Oreochromis niloticus: one gene and its partner. The protein of the gene in region 1 purifies or fractionates together with the protein of each later gene. This does not show direct contact. Links are inferred from orthologs where the notes say so. Each region holds a gene or a part of one and is shown on either strand. Other genes may lie near its edges. The genes, in order: acaa2 and pgd.

The links.
Region 2: the proteins of acaa2 (region 1) and pgd fractionate together in Homo sapiens (co-fractionation; 3 studies listed by BioGRID). This does not show direct contact. The link is inferred for Oreochromis niloticus from reciprocal best matches to the Homo sapiens genes ACAA2 and PGD.

The regions. Positions count from the first base shown.
Region 1 is NC_031977.2:25,890,655-25,899,424, forward strand, and holds the start of acaa2 (3-ketoacyl-CoA thiolase, mitochondrial), read left to right. Parts: upstream 1-5,050; 5' UTR 5,051-5,199; coding exon 5,200-5,215; intron 5,216-8,155; coding exon 8,156-8,322; intron 8,323-8,417; coding exon 8,418-8,546; intron 8,547-8,770. Other genes in the region: lg12h22orf39 (synaptic plasticity regulator PANTS), read left to right, coding at 477-644, 734-865; mrpl40 (large ribosomal subunit protein mL40), read right to left, coding at 1,637-1,864, 1,981-2,062, 3,251-3,406, 3,600-3,683, 4,684-4,745. UniProt on the Homo sapiens protein: In the production of energy from fats, this is one of the enzymes that catalyzes the last step of the mitochondrial beta-oxidation pathway, an aerobic process breaking down fatty acids into acetyl-CoA.
Region 2 is NC_031984.2:22,177,253-22,186,252, forward strand, and holds the start of pgd (6-phosphogluconate dehydrogenase, decarboxylating), read left to right. Parts: upstream 1-5,282; 5' UTR 5,283-5,432; coding exon 5,433-5,440; intron 5,441-5,866; coding exon 5,867-5,942; intron 5,943-6,029; coding exon 6,030-6,209; intron 6,210-6,302; coding exon 6,303-6,368; intron 6,369-6,450; coding exon 6,451-6,569; intron 6,570-6,654; coding exon 6,655-6,724; intron 6,725-6,843; coding exon 6,844-6,978; intron 6,979-7,087; coding exon 7,088-7,277; intron 7,278-8,276; coding exon 8,277-8,407; intron 8,408-8,664; coding exon 8,665-8,798; intron 8,799-9,000. UniProt on the Homo sapiens protein: Catalyzes the oxidative decarboxylation of 6-phosphogluconate to ribulose 5-phosphate and CO(2), with concomitant reduction of NADP to NADPH.

The DNA of each region.
Region 1 (8,770 bases):
CGTTGACAAGGTATTTTTGCTTAGAGAACTGCCCCTCACTGTATATTTCCTCTTTTTCAGTTGCTGCCATGTGATTGGTTGATTATTTTATTAGTAACAAGTAGTTAGACAGGTGTACCCAACAAAGGCTACGTTCACACTGCAGGTCTTAATGCTCAATTCCGATTTTTTGATCAAATCCGATTTTTTTGTCTGCTCGTTCACACTACAAATAAAATGCGACAGCAAACGCGCTCTAGTGTGAACGCTCAAAGCGGCCCGCATGCGCAAAAGATGTCACATCGTGGTGAGTTTTCAGTATGAAATGAGGTTGTATTTTTAGCCTAGGTGAAGGACAAAGGTTGATCCTCAGTTGCTCTTGCATTACTTTCATCCTTTGGAGGGGAGACAATGAAGACCTCGACTGATGTCAGTCACCAGAATCCCAACAGAAGTTTAAAGTTTTATTCTCATGTTTGTTTGCTTTGTCGCCACAGCCACCGCGGGCATGTGAAGACTACTGGAGTGAGTTTAGACACTGCAAAAGTTTAAAAAACTGCTTTCACCACTACTACACTTACGGTACCGTGCCGTCCTGCCAGCAGTGGAAAGAGGACTACCATAACTGCAGAGAGTGGGAGAAACATAGAGGCACCGAGGCTAAGGTGGAACAGCAAGAAATTAAAGTCCTAAATGGGTGACTTTGTGATCCCCTCCAGGCTGTATAAATACACTCACTGTATCTGTCTTGCAGGAGGCGTTGCGGAGAAGTGAGAAAATCCGAGTGGCAGAGCAAAGAAACTTCATTCCAGTGTGGCAGCTCAGGCAGGAGCCTCCTAGAGACTGGCACGTGCCACTGAACCAGGAGAAGCCTCAGGACTCCTGAACATCGAGTTTTGACAACATGCTGTGTTTCAGTTAAAGAGCCTGGACATTCTTGTGATCACGAGCTGTCATGAGTTGTATTCAGAGAACTGCTGTATGTAAAATGATATGTACAGTATGTCTAACAGCAGCTAGTGGTCAGCGATGAGGATTCAGCCTCTGTTTTATCAGTGAATATGATCTCTTTCCAGGCAGGCTGGTGTGTCATAGGTACTAATTCTGCAAAGCTTGTGTAAACTTAAGCACAAAGACCGACTGCACTCGGAGACTCTGTGAAAATTAGCTCTATATTATCCTTATTTTGACAGGATATATAATCAATCCATGTAATCAGTGATCTGCTTCATTCTCTTTGAAAAAGGTGAAGAGCCAGGTCTTTGCATGGTACTGGTAGGCCTATATGTATTTGTCAGCTGCTAAGCATATGAATTGACTTTAAGAAAGGTTAATTATGTAGCTCTTGATGCTGGAGTCAGGTCTATGGGATGTTTAATCTTACTGAAAAATTGACATGACAGAATCCAGAGTTGTGTAGCAGTTTTCTGCCTTATAACATGACATGTTCAAAAAGATTCTGGAAACTGGATCAATAAAAAGATGTAAATTTTTATTCGATTTCTTTCATTATTATAGACAGAAATATTAATGTGACACAAACTCACTGTAACTCTCACACAATGAATGACAATGAAGGAATAAAGACGCAGAAGCTGCATTTTTGCTTAGTGAATAACATTCAGACACACTAAACTACACAGCCATTCCTCATCTATCACTGTGTGTAAACTTTAGTGATATCGTTGTATTTCCCATCAGGAGCGTCATAATTGGGTATTGCTGGCGTATATGTGGGACCTTCGTGAACAAAGGGAATAAGAAGCGGGTCAGGCTTCAGCGCTGCCCGATACAGCTCCTCAGACTCCAGCTTCAGCTCCTCCAGTGCCTCCCTCTGTGCTTCCAAAGCCAGTTCAACAGCCTCCACTTCAGCCATGTGCTGCTTCTGCAAGAACATCAGACAGACACAACCCACTAAGTGCATGCAATGGAGAGCCAGGGTCAGATGTAACATTTTCCATAAAAGCTTTAGTGACGCAGGTGCGATAGGTAAGTGGTAACCTGTTTGTATCGACACCACTCCTTCAGCAGCAGGGCTCGACCTTCACTTTCTTCAAATGACAGCCTTGGAGCAGTGCGTTCCCTTTGAAAGAGAATTATGAACATCAATTTAAAGGACTTAAAAGCTCTATCCAAGAAAGGTATTCAAATGAGCAATTTAAAAGTTTCAAAGCTGTTTTAATGTCCCAGAGCTTCAATGCAAAAAGACTGATAAAACCATTATCTTTTTATCTTATTGTATATTTTATTCTACTGTATATAGTATTTTATTTTATTCTATTATGTACAGTTGTGTACTGTATTTATTCTTATTTTATTCTAATCTTTGCTTCATAACTTTTGCACTGTCCACTTCCTGCTGTGACAAAACAAATTTCCCACGTGTGGGACTAATAAAGGTTATCTTATCTTATCTTATGAAGACATCAGCTAACAATCACGTCTCAGAACTTCAGCCACCTTTTGCAAAGGCAATTTCTCTGTGAAAATGAGCTGTGGCTGAGGTGGTAGAGCTGGTCGTCTAGCAAAGAAGGCAAAAGGATCAGTCTGTGATTCCTCCAGTCAGCAAAATGTTCTTGGCAAATTGCCCCTAATGCACCTATTGGAGTGTGTATGAATGTTGAAAAATGCTTCGGGGTAGATAAAACTGCATCCGATGGGGTAAATGAGACCTGTAGAATTGTAGTAAAGTAGTATTTACATTATCTTGACATAGATAATGTTTGTGTTAACACTCTTGGGGCATTATTGCCAAATCCATTCTTGACCTGTGAGATGTCATGAATAATAAAACTTTTTTAAAAAGCACACAATAAGTGCTTTTGACTTTTTTTTTTCATTAGTTTGTGCAATCCAACAAAGCTGATTTAAACACATAAGATTAAAATATTTTTAAACTGATGTGGAAATCATCAGAGTTGACATCAGCTCAGATTTTCTTCACTGGCTGTGGAGCACAGCGTTCTCAAAGGATGCCGTGGTATGAGCCATGACACATTAATTTTACACATTGGATTTATAGAGCTGCTTGATCTGTTGATCAAGCAGATCTATTTAGGAATAAAATCACATTGCTTATCCGTTCTAATGATCTTCAAAAAATGCCCTGCTTCTGATGATCCATACCTGCCCAGCAGCTTTAGTTCATTTGCTGACAAGAAGAAATTTAATGTGTGTTATCATACTGAGCACTGTAAGTTAATGTTTCAATACAAATTTGACCTCATTATCTCAAATGACATTTATGCACATAGACTGAAATGAGCTCCACCTTGTTTCATCCAAGCATTTGGTTGGAGTGACGAAGTCCTCTATGGGGATAAGCTCAGGTGGAACTTTCTCCAGTTTCTTCAGCTTCTTTTTCAGGCGCTCTCTCAACATCTGTTCCCTTCTCGGGTCAACTTTCTTCTTCTTTTTTGGCTCAGCTCTTGAATAACACAGATCACACCTCTATGTTAATATATTCAGCCACAAGATAGAGCTTTGCTGAGAAGTACTGTTAGCATCACAAACCATCATAACATTGGTGGATTAAGTTTTTAATTTAAAATATTGATGAAATGACAATTGTGGTAAACCTCGGTCATGACTTGGTTTGTGAGCCTGAGCCTGAATCATACCTCAGTGGAGCAGATGTCTTCAGGGTCATCACTGGTGCAAACCAAGGACTCTGTACAAGATGGTGATGTTCTCCCAACAGAGAGCTGCAGAATAGAGTACAGGTCATTTCTCTACTAAGTTTGTATATTCTTTGAAGAAGACAGTCTTAAGAGTGCTACTATCCTTGCTGCAAATAAGATGCTTGTCTACAAACATTTTCAATCCTGGCCACTCCCAGTGAAAATTTTAACATCTTCATCTCTGTCGCCTCCGGCTCAGTCTCCTGTCTTTTTATTGATGCCACTCTCCAACTACCATCTTGTAAACCTTCTCTTTCACTTCTGTCACAAATCACCCCTGATGCTCATCTCCACCCTGCCTGCACTCTCTTTTTCCATCTCTTTTGTGCACTGTCATTTGCTTTGGATGTTTAACCCCAGGTATTTAACCATCCACCTTCACAATCTTTGCTCTTTTCAGCCTCATGAGCACAGTTGTCTGCCTCTCACTCACACACGTGTTCTGTCCTGCTTTTGATTTTCATTTCCCATCTTTCAAAGCAGACATTCACCTCTCCAAGCTCTCTTTCACCTGCTCTCTACTTTTGGTACAGATCACAATGTCGTCTGCAAATATTATAGTGCACAGAGACTCCTGACTGACCTAATCTATCCATCTTCATTGCAAACAAGAAGGGGCACAGAGCAGTTCCCTGATGCTGATCCAGGTCGAGCCCATCTGTCATTCCTACCGCACACTTCACCACTGTTTATCTGTCCTCATACATGTCCTGCACCACCCTGGTACTTCTCTTGGCACCCCATCATATGGTTTATCTAGATTCATAAATGCACAGTGAAACTTCTTCTGACCTTCTCTATACTTCTCCATCAACAGTATCAAAGCAAAGATCGCATCTGTACTCTTTCTCAGCATGAAACCATACTCTCAACAGCTACATCCCTCTGTAGTCACGACAGCTCTGCTCATCACCTTTGTTACTGAACAAGCACACTTCTTCTCTATTAAAGCACTGAATAACCTTAGCTATATTAGCTCCACACAGCTAACGCACTTCGTTCACATCGTACATCAATCACTCACCTCGACGGCATGGCCTGCCGCGATAAAACCCTGCAAAGACATCGCGAAAGAGCCAAAGACATGTTTTAATTACGTTTCCGTTTCCTCCTTTAACTCAGTTTTGGGTCCAGGACAACAAACATTCACATGTCGTCCCCTGGAGTGACAGCCCCCCACACACACGTCGCTGAAAGATGACGCTTCAAACAGGCGGGCGCACACTTCAACGTCCGCACTTTCGCTTATTTAAAAAGCTTGAAAAAAAAAAATCAGAGACAGATATTGGATATGTGATAATCCGCTAATATATTAATTAATAAAACAATAAGATAAACAGTAAAAAAAAATAGTAACATTGCGTTGTGTAGATATTTATGTGTAAATATTTTGTTGAATCTTCATGGAGGAGTAAAACGTTACCGAGCTGCAGTATTTGGGGGAAAGGTCACAGTGGTCTCAGGCTTTTATATCCTCCACGCAGCGAGATATCAGCCTAAAACTTTGATCCGGTCATCGCTGGATTGTTGAGTCTGCATCATGGCACTTCTCAGAGGTAAACAAACACCATTCAGTTCATTTCAGCAGTAAGACCTCTGGGACGGGATTTTCTGGTGGGGCGTTTGAAAGTATCTGGGTCACACTGCTGTGCAACAGTGCTTTAAAATCGACCTTTTTATTCATTTTATATGCAAAGAAGGCTCGTTTCCACATAGTTTCACTGCAATGTAGGCGAAAGGTGACAAGATGGTGGCAGTATTATTTAAACAGCTGCTCCTTCCTGCTACTCAACTCAAAACTGTAAACATGTATTTGAACATTTAATCAGAAACCTTTCACAACTTTGAGGACACCGGTTTGCTTTTGTTATGCCCACACTTTTTTGGTTTAGAAAATTACAGCTTTCAGCTGTAATATTCATGTGTGTGAATATTACAGCTGAAGGTATATGCTGTAGCATATGCTGTGATGCGTTTACCTAAGTGAAGGTGAAACCGTGCTTTAAATCTGTTTTAATTATCTGTTTAATAGATTACAAATATACATTGCATGTTCCACATACATTACTTAATTTGCATTATTGTGTTTCCTGATTTTGCTATTCGTATTTTTCCATATTATGTGTTTATATATCATCGAAAAAAAGGATAGAACATCAAAAAAGTTGGGTAGCAGTATTTCATTTGAGTTTTTCCTCATATGGCAATTACATCATGAATATGGAGTAAATGTTTAAAGAAATTATCTATAAGGACTTTGGATTACTGGTCATTGAGCCATTTTATATGCAACATATCAGCAGCTCCCAACATTTTTTCCCCCATCTTACATGCCCAGCCATTCAATCACTCCTTTGAGTTATTATTCCATTTAAACACTAAGTAATTATCCACGAAAGTATTGATAACCAAAGAGTTTCAACAGCTTGTCACTACTGTTGTCTAATTAACCACTTATGCAGTCCTCTTTAATACTTTCTGCTGCAAATTCATTGCATTATTTTATGTTTAACTTTTCTGCTTAAACCTATCAGTTTCAAAAAGGTAAACAAAATGACTAGTCAAAAAAGCTTTATAGTGGATTTATAAATAAATACATTTTTATTAATTCACAAATCTCTGAGTTTGGTCCAGTGCCCCCATTCAGAGTGGAGGGAACATATTACTCAACATTAAACAGACTCCAGCTGTATGCGTCAGGTGTTACTATAATATTTGCAAACTCAATTCTAGGTCAAAGCATCCCGCATTTCCTGACACGTAGCAGACATTAGTCGATAGTTCAGTGTCCCTCTAAAACTAAAAAAGGTCCATCAGTGCAGCATTTCAAAATAGAGATCATTCCTATTAAGGTACTGTGAACTTTAAACCCTTTTTTTTTTTCCTCTCAAAAATGTTGCTGTGACTTCCAGATCAATTTTTGGCAGATTATCAATCAGGCCCCAAATGCAGAAACAGTGAATTTAAAGAGAAAAAAAAGAACATACACCAACCTGACAGGAGCTGAGGCCCGTGCTACAAAACAGGATTTCATCTTAGCCAGGGAACCTCAGGTTTAACCCCAGGTTTTCTGCACCAAGGTGAATCTCTTACAGGGTATATTGCCAGAGTAGCTCCTGAAAACCTACTTCAGATTAGAGGACAGGTATGAAATGAAATGGCATCACTATTCCTGGAAGATTTCTCAGATCCCTGTGTGCAGATGGGTCTAAATTCCGAGTTTCAGTTTATTCCAAATTTGAATTCTGTTTTAATTTATTCTTTACTTGCTCTCAGACTGTTAAAACCTCACCAGGGCTCCAGCTGTAGTAAGTAAATATTAGCTTGAATTAATGTTTTAGTGACAGTTTTAGATTTTCTTTCAGCTGCTGCTTCAGAGGCATTTAGTCTGAGAGCAAGTAAAAATGAAAGAAACAGAATTCAGATGGAGGCTTTGTCTACATACAAATTTGAAATACACTTAGCGAGTAGGCTACAAATAGGTGAACTGTTTTAGAATCATTCATTCCTATAAATCAAATGTTCTACAAGCATGAATAAGTTACCAGCAGCCAACAGGAAGAAATAATAAAGTTACTGATCAACATGGAAACAGAAGGACCAGGATCCAGGAATGATGACAGTATTTTTTATAGAGAATTATTTTGTCACTAGGTAGCACCTGTTGATCTTTATCATGGAACATAACCTACACCAGAGCAGGTTTAGTTCCCTGCACAAAACCTAACATCTTGATCCACCGTTATAACACAAAAAACTTAGGGTAATCTTGACATTAACCAGGTAAGACAAACTCCTACTTTGCTATACAGGCCTCAGGCCTCTGTACAAAGCAACCCAAACAGATAGGAGAAAAGAAGGACAAAGCTATATATACACAGAATGAGATCACTGATGAGAAACATGCGGGAGCGGAACAAAGGCGAACACAATCACCAGCAGGTGAAAACAATGGGGGGAATCAGGGGACTGCAGACAGGATGAAAAAATGACTCACAACATGAAAGAAAACAATCCTTTAAAGTAAAATAGGAAGTAACAGAGAGGGTCATACTAACATTTAATAAGCCAAACAAGACAATTAAACAAAAGTGACCAGAATGAGACAGAGGGAAGCAGCAAATAGAAACACAGGGAAGACCGTGGCTACATGTACTCATCATAAAACCAAACATCAGAAAATACGAAGAACAAAACTCACTAGTGAACCATACATACACAGCGATGAAGGAATAAATCAAAGTCACTGTCAGGAAATAACAACAGAAACACTATAGGAGAAAACCTAAACAGGAACTTTAACTTCAACATCAACATCAACAAAGAATTGAAAACAAGAAATCAGACGCAGCTCTATTTCAACACCCTGTAAATCATGTTGCGTTAGTGCTAATTATCCCTTCACAAATCTTCTCTCTCTGTCCCCCGCTACAATCTGGCTGTAGCTCAGTGGTGGGTGGTGTTAACTCCAAACTAAAATGCTCGTTTTTTCCTAGGTGTATTTATTGTAGCTGCCAAGCGAACTCCATTTGGTACCTATGGTGGAGTACTGAAGGATCACAGTGCAACAGACTTGGCTGAACATGCAGCCAAAGCTGCCCTCGCTGCAGGGGGTGTGGTCCCAGAGCTTGTAAACAGCATCATCATAGGAAATGTCATGCAGGTACTGATCACACATACAACACTGAAAGGATTAATTATAAATGATCTGACTACTGTATCTTACATTTTGTTTCTGATCCACTTCCCTACGTTCAGAGCTCAGCTGATGCACCCTACATTGCTCGTCATGTGGGTCTGAGGTGTGGCGTACCCATCCCAGTGCCCGCTCTCACCGTGAACAGACTGTGTGGATCTGGTTTCCAGTCCATCATTAATGGCGCTCAGGTAAGCACTAAACTGATGAAAATAGTACTCTAAGACCCATAAAGGAGGGATTTTCAAAGCAGAAAACAGTGTATTGAATGTTTTCCTATCAAAATATAAACAAGAAAATTGATTTTTTTTAAAGTAGTAACAGTGACACTTAGAGAGTACTACTTTTTGCAGGGAAAAAGAAGCCCTGCAGCTTCTCTGTAAGGAGAAGAGAGAGTGAGTAAGATACAGGACAA
Region 2 (9,000 bases), on another chromosome or scaffold:
GGACTTTTCTAACTGACCTCCGACCTTTGAGCAGTAGTGTACTGTATGCTTGTATGTAACTGTGTCTGACCTGGATTTTATCACCAGTTTCAAATAAGAATTGTCTTTAAAGTCTGTCTTTAAATACAAATGAAGTTCAACTTTAGCAAGGCTGATGGTAAACTGTCCCTAACAAGTCCACTTTATTGCGTGCTCATTGACTTTCTCCTATCAGAGCTGTTTAACAAGTCCACTTTATACATGCTTATTAATCTATCACGCTTATCAGTGGCTCATGGTTGCTTAAAGCCTATGTCTGAACTTGAGCACAGAGCCAGAGCATCATTCAATCCTACCAGCAGCTCAAGGATGACAAACTCCACTTTCTCTGCATCAAGACAGCTCATAACTTTTTAACAGTCTCTCCTGATAGTCTCATATCATCTGCTCTAATCAATAACCGTACACTATAATTACAGTGTAGACTACAGCTCAAAAGTCTGGAGTGAATTAGAAATGTCTTGTTTTCTGAATAGACTCAAATTTGGTTTCAGATTGAATCACAGCAATTAATCAAAATAATCATATAAATGCTTAATATTAACACTGATCACAGATCATGAATGATTTTGAATAGAATATCTACAGAGGTGTTCAGAGACCCATTTTCAGCAATAATCCCTCCTGTGTTCAGTGGTACATTGTCTTATCTAATGCAAGTTTAACACATTAAAAGCCAAACTTATCACTCAAAACAGCTTTTTAAGAGACTTTAGCACAAACTGAAACTATTGTGGTGATTAAAGAAAGAATAAATGTGTCTGGATCATCCCAGTTGTTGTTTTTAACCTCATTAAACCAAGTTTACATTTTCCTGTAAAGGGGCTGCAACACCCAGCTGCACAAAACCTTCACTTTTTTAACAGTTTCACTCTTTGAATATTTTTCATTTCTTACAATCAGAATTCTCCAATAGATTTTTAGAAGAAAATTATTTTCTTTCATGCATCACCAACTGAACCTTTTATGTTAAAATTTCAAGCTGCAACCTAACCTCATTTAATTTTGCTTAGCACAGCACTTTTCAACTCTAATAATTAGTAAGAGTATATTTCTTATCATCTATTGGTCATCTGACCTGATAAACTTCAATGAACATTATAACACAGGACTGATTGTCTCTAAAAATGGGCTCCAGACATTTTTGCATCACAACTTATGGATGATGAATGATTTGATTCAAGCTGTGAAAACATTACTGATACACTTCATGAGATATTACATTCAAGCCAATTTTCTATTAAAATCAGGGACTTTTCTAACTGACCTCCGACCTTTGAGCAGTAGTGTGTACTGTATGCTTGTATGTAACTGTATCTGACCTGGATTTTATCACCAGTTTCAAATAAGAATTTTCTTTAAAGTCTGTCTTTAAATACAAATGAAGTTCAACTTTATCAAGGCTGATGGTAAACTGTCCCTAACAAGTCCACTTTATTGCGTGCTCATTGACTTTCTCCTATCAGAGCTGTTTAACAAGTCCACTTTATACATGCTTATTAATCTATCACGCTTATCAGTGGCTCATGGTTGCTTAAAGCCTATGTCTGAACTTGAGCACAGAGCCAGAGCATCATTCATCCTACCAGCAGCTCAAGGATGACAAACTCCACTTTCTCTGCATCAAGACAGCTCATAACTTTTTAACAGTCTCTCCTGATAGTCTCATATCATCTGCTCTAATCAATAACCGTACACTATAATTACAATGTAGACTACAGCTCAAAAGTCTGGAGTGAATTAGAAATGTCTTGTTTTCTGAATAGACTCAAATTTGGTTTCAGATTGAATCACAGCAATTAATCAAAAATAATCATATAAATGCTTAATATTAACACTGATTACAGATCATGTATGATTTTTAATAGAATATCTACAGAGGTGTTCAGAGACCCATTTTCAGCAATAATCCCTCCTGTGTTCAGTGGTACATTGTCTTATCTAATGCAAGTTTAACACATTAAAAGCCTAACTCTGCATTCAAAACACATTTTTACAAATATTTTTATCACAAACTGAAACTATTGTGGTGATTAAAGAAAGAATAAATGTGTCTCGATCATCCCAGTTTCATACATGGGATATTTTTTGTTTCTTACAATAAAAGTTATCCAATAGGTTTTTATAATAAAATGCTGGTTAAATAACAATAATTTTGCCACATTAGTATTTGGATTAACTCCAATATATTTATATCTATATACTCCAAACCTGTGGCATACCCAGCTGTACCATCCACGAAAACTGAAGTAATTTTAAAGATTCTGTTCATCAGCAGAATAGTTTTCAGTCTTATGCTAATGTCATACCTGAAAAGTTGGTTTTCACGTAGATTATCCTTTTGACAGGAGTGTTTAATGTTTTTTCATACTCACAGTTTTTGCCTTCTGCCTTCTGGTACCTTTGTTTGATCCACCCTTTGCTCTGCCCCATCTTGTTTCCTCTCCTCTTGCGTCTGCTGACATAACGGATCCAGCTCCTTCCTTGTTTCTGCCTTGAGTTGAAATCGAAATCATTATAGAGGTAAGATAAATCAGGAAACGTCTTCAAGTTGTAAGTACTGTTAATATTTTCAGCCTTATTCTAGCCATTAAATTTACTTGATTTGAGGAGAAGGTATATTTGGTGTGACAACATAACACAGTATTAGTTTTATGCAAGATTAAATCAAAGAGTCAAATCAAAGTTAGTTAACAAAACTATTATAAAACACAGTTATGTATCACATTTTATAACTTTCTAAATGTTTCAAACTACATTTAGAAAATGCATTTAAAAAATGCATTTTGAAAAATGCAAATCTGTTTGGCAGCATCAACCAGTTTAGTCAAAATACTAGCATTTTAGTACCACAAAATAAAGTCTTAACTCTTTCAGTGCATTACTGACACCTCATTAAACTAAGAAAAATTACAAATGAAAATTATTCAGTACAAAATGAAAATACATTTAAAGAGTCTGATTAGAGCAAAAAGACTGACATTTCATCATAACTGTTTTTCCAGTGTAGCTAAATAAAAAAAGTGATTTACTTGGAAAAACAATGCTGGGGAAATAATTTTAGCCACTTCCTAACACTGTACAGGAAATCTGACAAGAAAAAGATCAGCAAAAACAGTAGATCGGTCTTACCTCTTCAAAGGTGTCCTCAGAAGTGTGATCAGACCTGCTCTCCTGCAGATATGGTGCTGTTATGCTGTACTGTCATAGCAACCAGAATTCCAAAATCCTAGTGATGTTTACTGGACAGGACCACTCTCTGGTCCTGTAACAGCAGGAATTTAACTACAAACCCTCATCGCTCCCATCAGTGTTGTTCCTTCTGCACTGCAGCAGAGGAGGATTAAAGTAGTTTAAGCACTTTTTATTCCCAAACTGCTGATTTGTGGACCCCTGTGATAAATATTTAGACCTTCATATGTTTTAGTTTGCAGGAGTGGGCTGATTAAAATGTTTAAAACCTTTATCTCCATCTCATCTCAAACATTTTACCAATATGTATAAGCAGGACCAAAAGACAGCAAGCAATCATGAAACCACATATTAACATACACTAGACTTCAGTGAACACGTTTATGTATAAATTCACACAGTTCTAGTTTTTTATTCAATTGACAGGCAGCTAAATATCTTGAATGACCATCCCTCAATATGCACTTTATAAAAGCCCTAAATCTTGATTGTGTTTATCTGGACATAATGTTTTCAATGAGAAAAGTTTCTGATGCAAGTGACTCCTTCAGTCTCTGATTTACTTACATGGATGCCTGAGCACGCATCAAGACACTCTATAAAAGCTTACAAAACATGGGTGTTTTTCCTTCTTTAACTTTTTGTGAGGGTGGATACTTTTGCCTTTATTGGATAGTGCAGCAGTAAAGGAAGTGGAGGTGACATGTAGCCAAGAGCCAGGGTCAGACTTGAACCCAGGCTGCTGGATTGTGCCATATGACCACTTGTTCAAACAGCGAGCTAAACAGGCATTATTTTGACAGTAACATAAAAATTCTGATTGTATTTCCCTCCTACACATACAAACTGAAGTCAAAGTCAAGCATAAGACATGTGTAACTTTGTCTTTTCTATGATTTTTAATGTGTACTTGCTGTTGTGCATATTAATTTTGACATTGCCCAAAACAGAAACACAAACAACTTTTATTCTGAATAAATTTGTGTGATGGCCCTTAGTCCTCCATATCCGCTTACAGGTTATTGTGACTATTTAGATTAGGGGAGTGGCCTATTTAGAGTAATATTTGTCACTGTGCTTAATTCCTTAACTGAAGGTATATAAGGAGCTCAGCAATCACTTTCTGTCTCTCTCTCTTCCAGATGATTTGTTTTCTTGGGTTTTTCTTTCTTTCTTTTTTTTTTTAAACAAACTTTGTTCACAGCACAGGAACACCCATCGACACACTCTGCACACTGGTCCTCAGTTTTTCAGATGCCATTTATTTCCATTATACAGAAGAAAAGGCAAACATTTCAAACAAAGACAGCCAGAACATCTTTCTGTGCCAGAACGTGGGAAATATAACTTAACATGACAAGAATCAATGTGTACACTATCCTCTCTTTAACTGTCTGTAATGCATTGAGCTAGTTAGCAACAGGAAAATTGACTGCATATGCACTGAAATTATTACTGATTGTGCTGTTGCATAATCTACTAAAAATATATAGGCAATTCTTCTTTTAGAAAACTTGCTGGGCGTGTAATCATTATACTGAAATCATAAAATTTAGATGTTGTGATAAGAAAAACATTTGTGCCACGCACAGCTAAACAATGGGCATATCTTCCGCATTTGTGATTAAAAGATGAAATACACAATGTACTTGTTCAGATATTCACCAGAGAAAAAGAAAAAGGGATTCATGAACTTATAGATATATAGACATATAGTCTATTGTGGCGCAAGCGCAGCTCTCAGGTCTGACGGATTTGACCGCTGCCAGTAGAAACGAGGCATCCAACTGGGAGACTGACAAGTCAAAATGATGTTCTTAAGCTATACAGTCAAGACAAGTTTGACTGTATAGCGATACTTAAAGAGGAAAATTCATTTCTGAAACAGGTCTTTCTTCAAGCAGACGTATGGCGTGCACTGACGCTTCGTGAGTGACTTCCGGGGGAGCCAACAGGAGAAGCGATAGCTCTGCTCAGAATTCTAGACCAATCAAATTTAGTCTTGGACGTGGCTTGTTTGCAGGAAGCTCTTCGATTGGTTGTTGCTCTACGTGGGCGTACCTAAGAGTCTCAGTCAAGTTTAGATGAGAACGAGGAAGTGGAAAACGAGCAAGGAGGAAATCTAAGGGAAAGGACCGGTGTGCGAGCTCGACTGTCATTTTAACACAGTTACCTTACAGTTACTTTGCCTACAGAACACAATGGCCAAGTAAGTCCTTCACTAGTTTCTTTGTTTCTTTTTCTGTTGTTTCTTTTTTGTACAAAGTCGGGGCAATAGAAAGGTTATAACTACTAGTTGAGGTTCTTTTGTTTTTCTCCTTTGCTGAGAGTAATCTTCTTTAGTAGTTAATGCTAACGGTGCTGTTATCTTGTTATCTGACCGGGGTCAGCTTTAGAGTTTAGTAAAAATATGTGTGGTGTATGCAGCATTGAATTGGGTGATGGTCGCTATGGACTCTGGGAAATTAAAGGGATCTTCGGAGTGAGGACTCTGAAGCCCATGTTTTAATTTACTTGAAATAAAAATACACTGGATGACTAGATGCATACTAGACAGAAGGCTGTTTTGATGATAATTACCCTGAAGCCAGACTATCCGATCTTCTCACCTGTGATGTGATTCTTATTTCCTCAGAGCAGACATTGCACTGATTGGTTTGGCCGTCATGGGCCAGAACCTCATCATGAACATGAATGACCACGGCTTTGTGGTAAGTTGATGCCTCCTGTGTGTGTTGCTGCTACTCCCTGCATAACCTGTTCCACTTTTTTTCACTCATTCAATATCTTTCCAACAGGTCTGCGCTTACAACCGTACCGTGTCCAAGGTGCATGACTTCCTGCAGAACGAGGCTAAGGGCTCCAAGGTGATTGGAGCAGAATCTCTGGAAGACATGGTGTCCAAGCTCAAGAAGCCCAGGAGGATCATCCTGCTGGTCAAGGCTGGACAGGCTGTGGATGACTTCATTGACAAGCTGGTGAGCAGTCAGTCCTGAATTGGGCTAAAGTTTGGAAACTGCATCCAACCTGCATATATTTATTGGGTTTGTACTACATCTGTTCATTCTCAGGTTCCTCTTCTTGAGGCTGGGGACATCATCATTGATGGTGGCAACTCTGAATACAGAGACACGACAGTAAGTCATAAACATTCACTGTGGAACAAAACCTCTTTATTCCAGAGGATATCGTCATAGCTCATGTACTTCTATCCTATAGCGGCGGTGCAAGAGTCTGAAAGAGAAGGGCCTGCTGTTTGTTGGCAGTGGAGTGAGTGGTGGAGAGGAGGGTGCACGCTATGGACCCTCACTCATGCCTGGTGGACATAAAGAGGCCTGGTAAGTCGTCAGCTTCATTTCATGTGTGTTAAAAATCAGTGAACATTCATCAATTTCAGAGTGTAAGTTATTGTTTATTTTATAGGCCATACATAAAGGACATCTTCCAGAGCATCGCTGCCAAAGTTGGAACAGGAGAGCCTTGTTGTGACTGGGTGAGTGATATATTTTTTTTATTTTTTTTTTTAATCTGCGTGTATATTTAATGTTTATTAAAGATATATTTGTTATTATTATGCCAAGTCATCTAACAAATATTGTGTGGCTTGAGCAGGTTGGCGATGAGGGTGCAGGTCATTTTGTGAAAATGGTCCATAACGGCATTGAGTATGGAGATATGCAGCTGATCTGTGAGGCCTATCACCTAATGAAGGATGTCTTGGGTATGGACCATGATGAGATGGCACAGGTGCGCTTGTTGGACTTCTATGACACCACTTTCACATTTGTCTGGCAGTATTAATTATGTAAAATATAAAGACAATATGTGTTTTTGATTTTTTGTTTTGTTTTTTAAGGCTTTTGACAGCTGGAACAAGACGGAGCTGGACTCCTTCCTGATTGAGATCACAGCCAACATCCTTAAATACAAAGACTCTGACGGTAAACATCTGCTGCCCAAAATCCGCGACAGTGCTGGACAGAAAGGCACAGGGAAGTGGACGGCCATTTCAGCCCTCGAGTACGGGACACCTGTCACACTGATCGGTAAGAGGAAGAAAGGAGGCTTAAAGCAATGAACTACTCATAAAGGCTAGTGTCATGTACCAATTCCGCAAAAGCCACTTATCAAATTACCCTTTAATGATCAGATTTCTTGGGCTTATGCTTTTGATCTGTCAGCTGGCAAACACAGCATGGGCTGTGAGCTTCTTTTAGAGAATGTGATCAATATGTTGTTGCCTGTAAGAAGCTTGAAGGCTATTCTGATGGCCTCTGCATGTCAGGTGACATAAGGGGGATTTGGCTTTGGTCTTTGCTGTGACTGTATCATAGTCTGTTTTATAAACAGACCTAAACAAGAAGCAAGCTTTATATGATTAACTTTAAAATCATGCAGGGTAAACTATATGGAAAATGTATCCAATGTACCCACAAGTGAGATTTTTTTAAATTGCTGTGTTTGCTTGTTCCCTGTCTGTGTTGCATACCCTGCTGTAATAGAGAGTGATGGGTGCAGAATAAAAGGCTTCATTGTGTGAGAACTAAGCCCATCAGGGCGAAGCAGTATGCACAGGAGGCGCTCTCACCCAGCAGGGATCACATTCCTCACTAGGACAGTTTGACTCAGTCCATTGCGTTACAGAGCAGTGCAGGTTTTAGCAAGTCATGCTGACCCAACAGGTTTTTTTTTCCTACTCTCCTCAGTTAGTGGCAAGGAAACGATCCTCTCTAATCTGGGAAACCTTGAGTTTTGTCTACTGTAGCTTTGGCACGCCTGCTTTACCAAACCCTATTGCAAACACTGCTGAGTCATGCTGTCGCTCGAGCGTTGGCTGATAGCACAGGGTCACTGTGACTGTCAGCTTGGAAATTCTATGTAATGCTTTGTCATTTTTTTGAGATTTCAGGAAACCTAAATTACTATTTAAGAAAAAAAGAAGCTGAGCAGTTAGTTTATGTGACACTCAAAGCGCTGTGTGTAGTATGTGCACTAATGCTGTCCCTCTTCTTTCCTCTCCCTTCTCTCCTCCTGTTGTCTCCCAGGGGAGGCTGTCTTTGCCAGATGTCTGTCTTCTCTAAAGGATGAGAGAGTGGAGGCCAGCCGCAGCCTGTCAGGGCCACAGGGGGTCAAATTCAGCGGCAACAAGGCTACCTTCCTAGAAGACATCAGAAAGGTGAAACACACAGTAAATGCATTTACTCTAAATGGGCCAGTTTAGAGCAGCATGCCACAGAGAGGTCAAAGTAAAAATGTCTGTGCACCCTTTGAGATTACCAGGTATCAGAAGTGATGAATAAACATTACACTTTTCAGACCTACAAGTTTTAGCTGCTTCTGTCGAATTAAACACTTTTTATAAAACAAAAAAGACTAATTACTATTGAAAAATGTGAAAGTAATATGAAAATTGTTATGTTTTCATTTGTCCAGGCCCTGTATGCGTCCAAGATCATTTCCTACGCGCAGGGATTCATGCTGCTGCGTCAGGCAGCCAAAGAGTTCGGCTGGACGCTCAACTACGGTGCGATCGCCCTGATGTGGAGAGGAGGCTGCATCATTCGAAGGTACTTTTGCCCTCATGTGTCCACACAGCAGAAGTTTGCCTCACTTCCATGTTGTGCAAAAGTTTCAACACTGTTGTCCAAACAGTGGGGGCGAGGGTGTCTGAGAGCCCTTGTTAAGAAAGCTCGACTAAAACAGAAGTTTTTGTTGCTTGAGTAAGATTTAAGAACATTTGAGTTAAGCTGCAGTTTCTTTAGGTGCAAG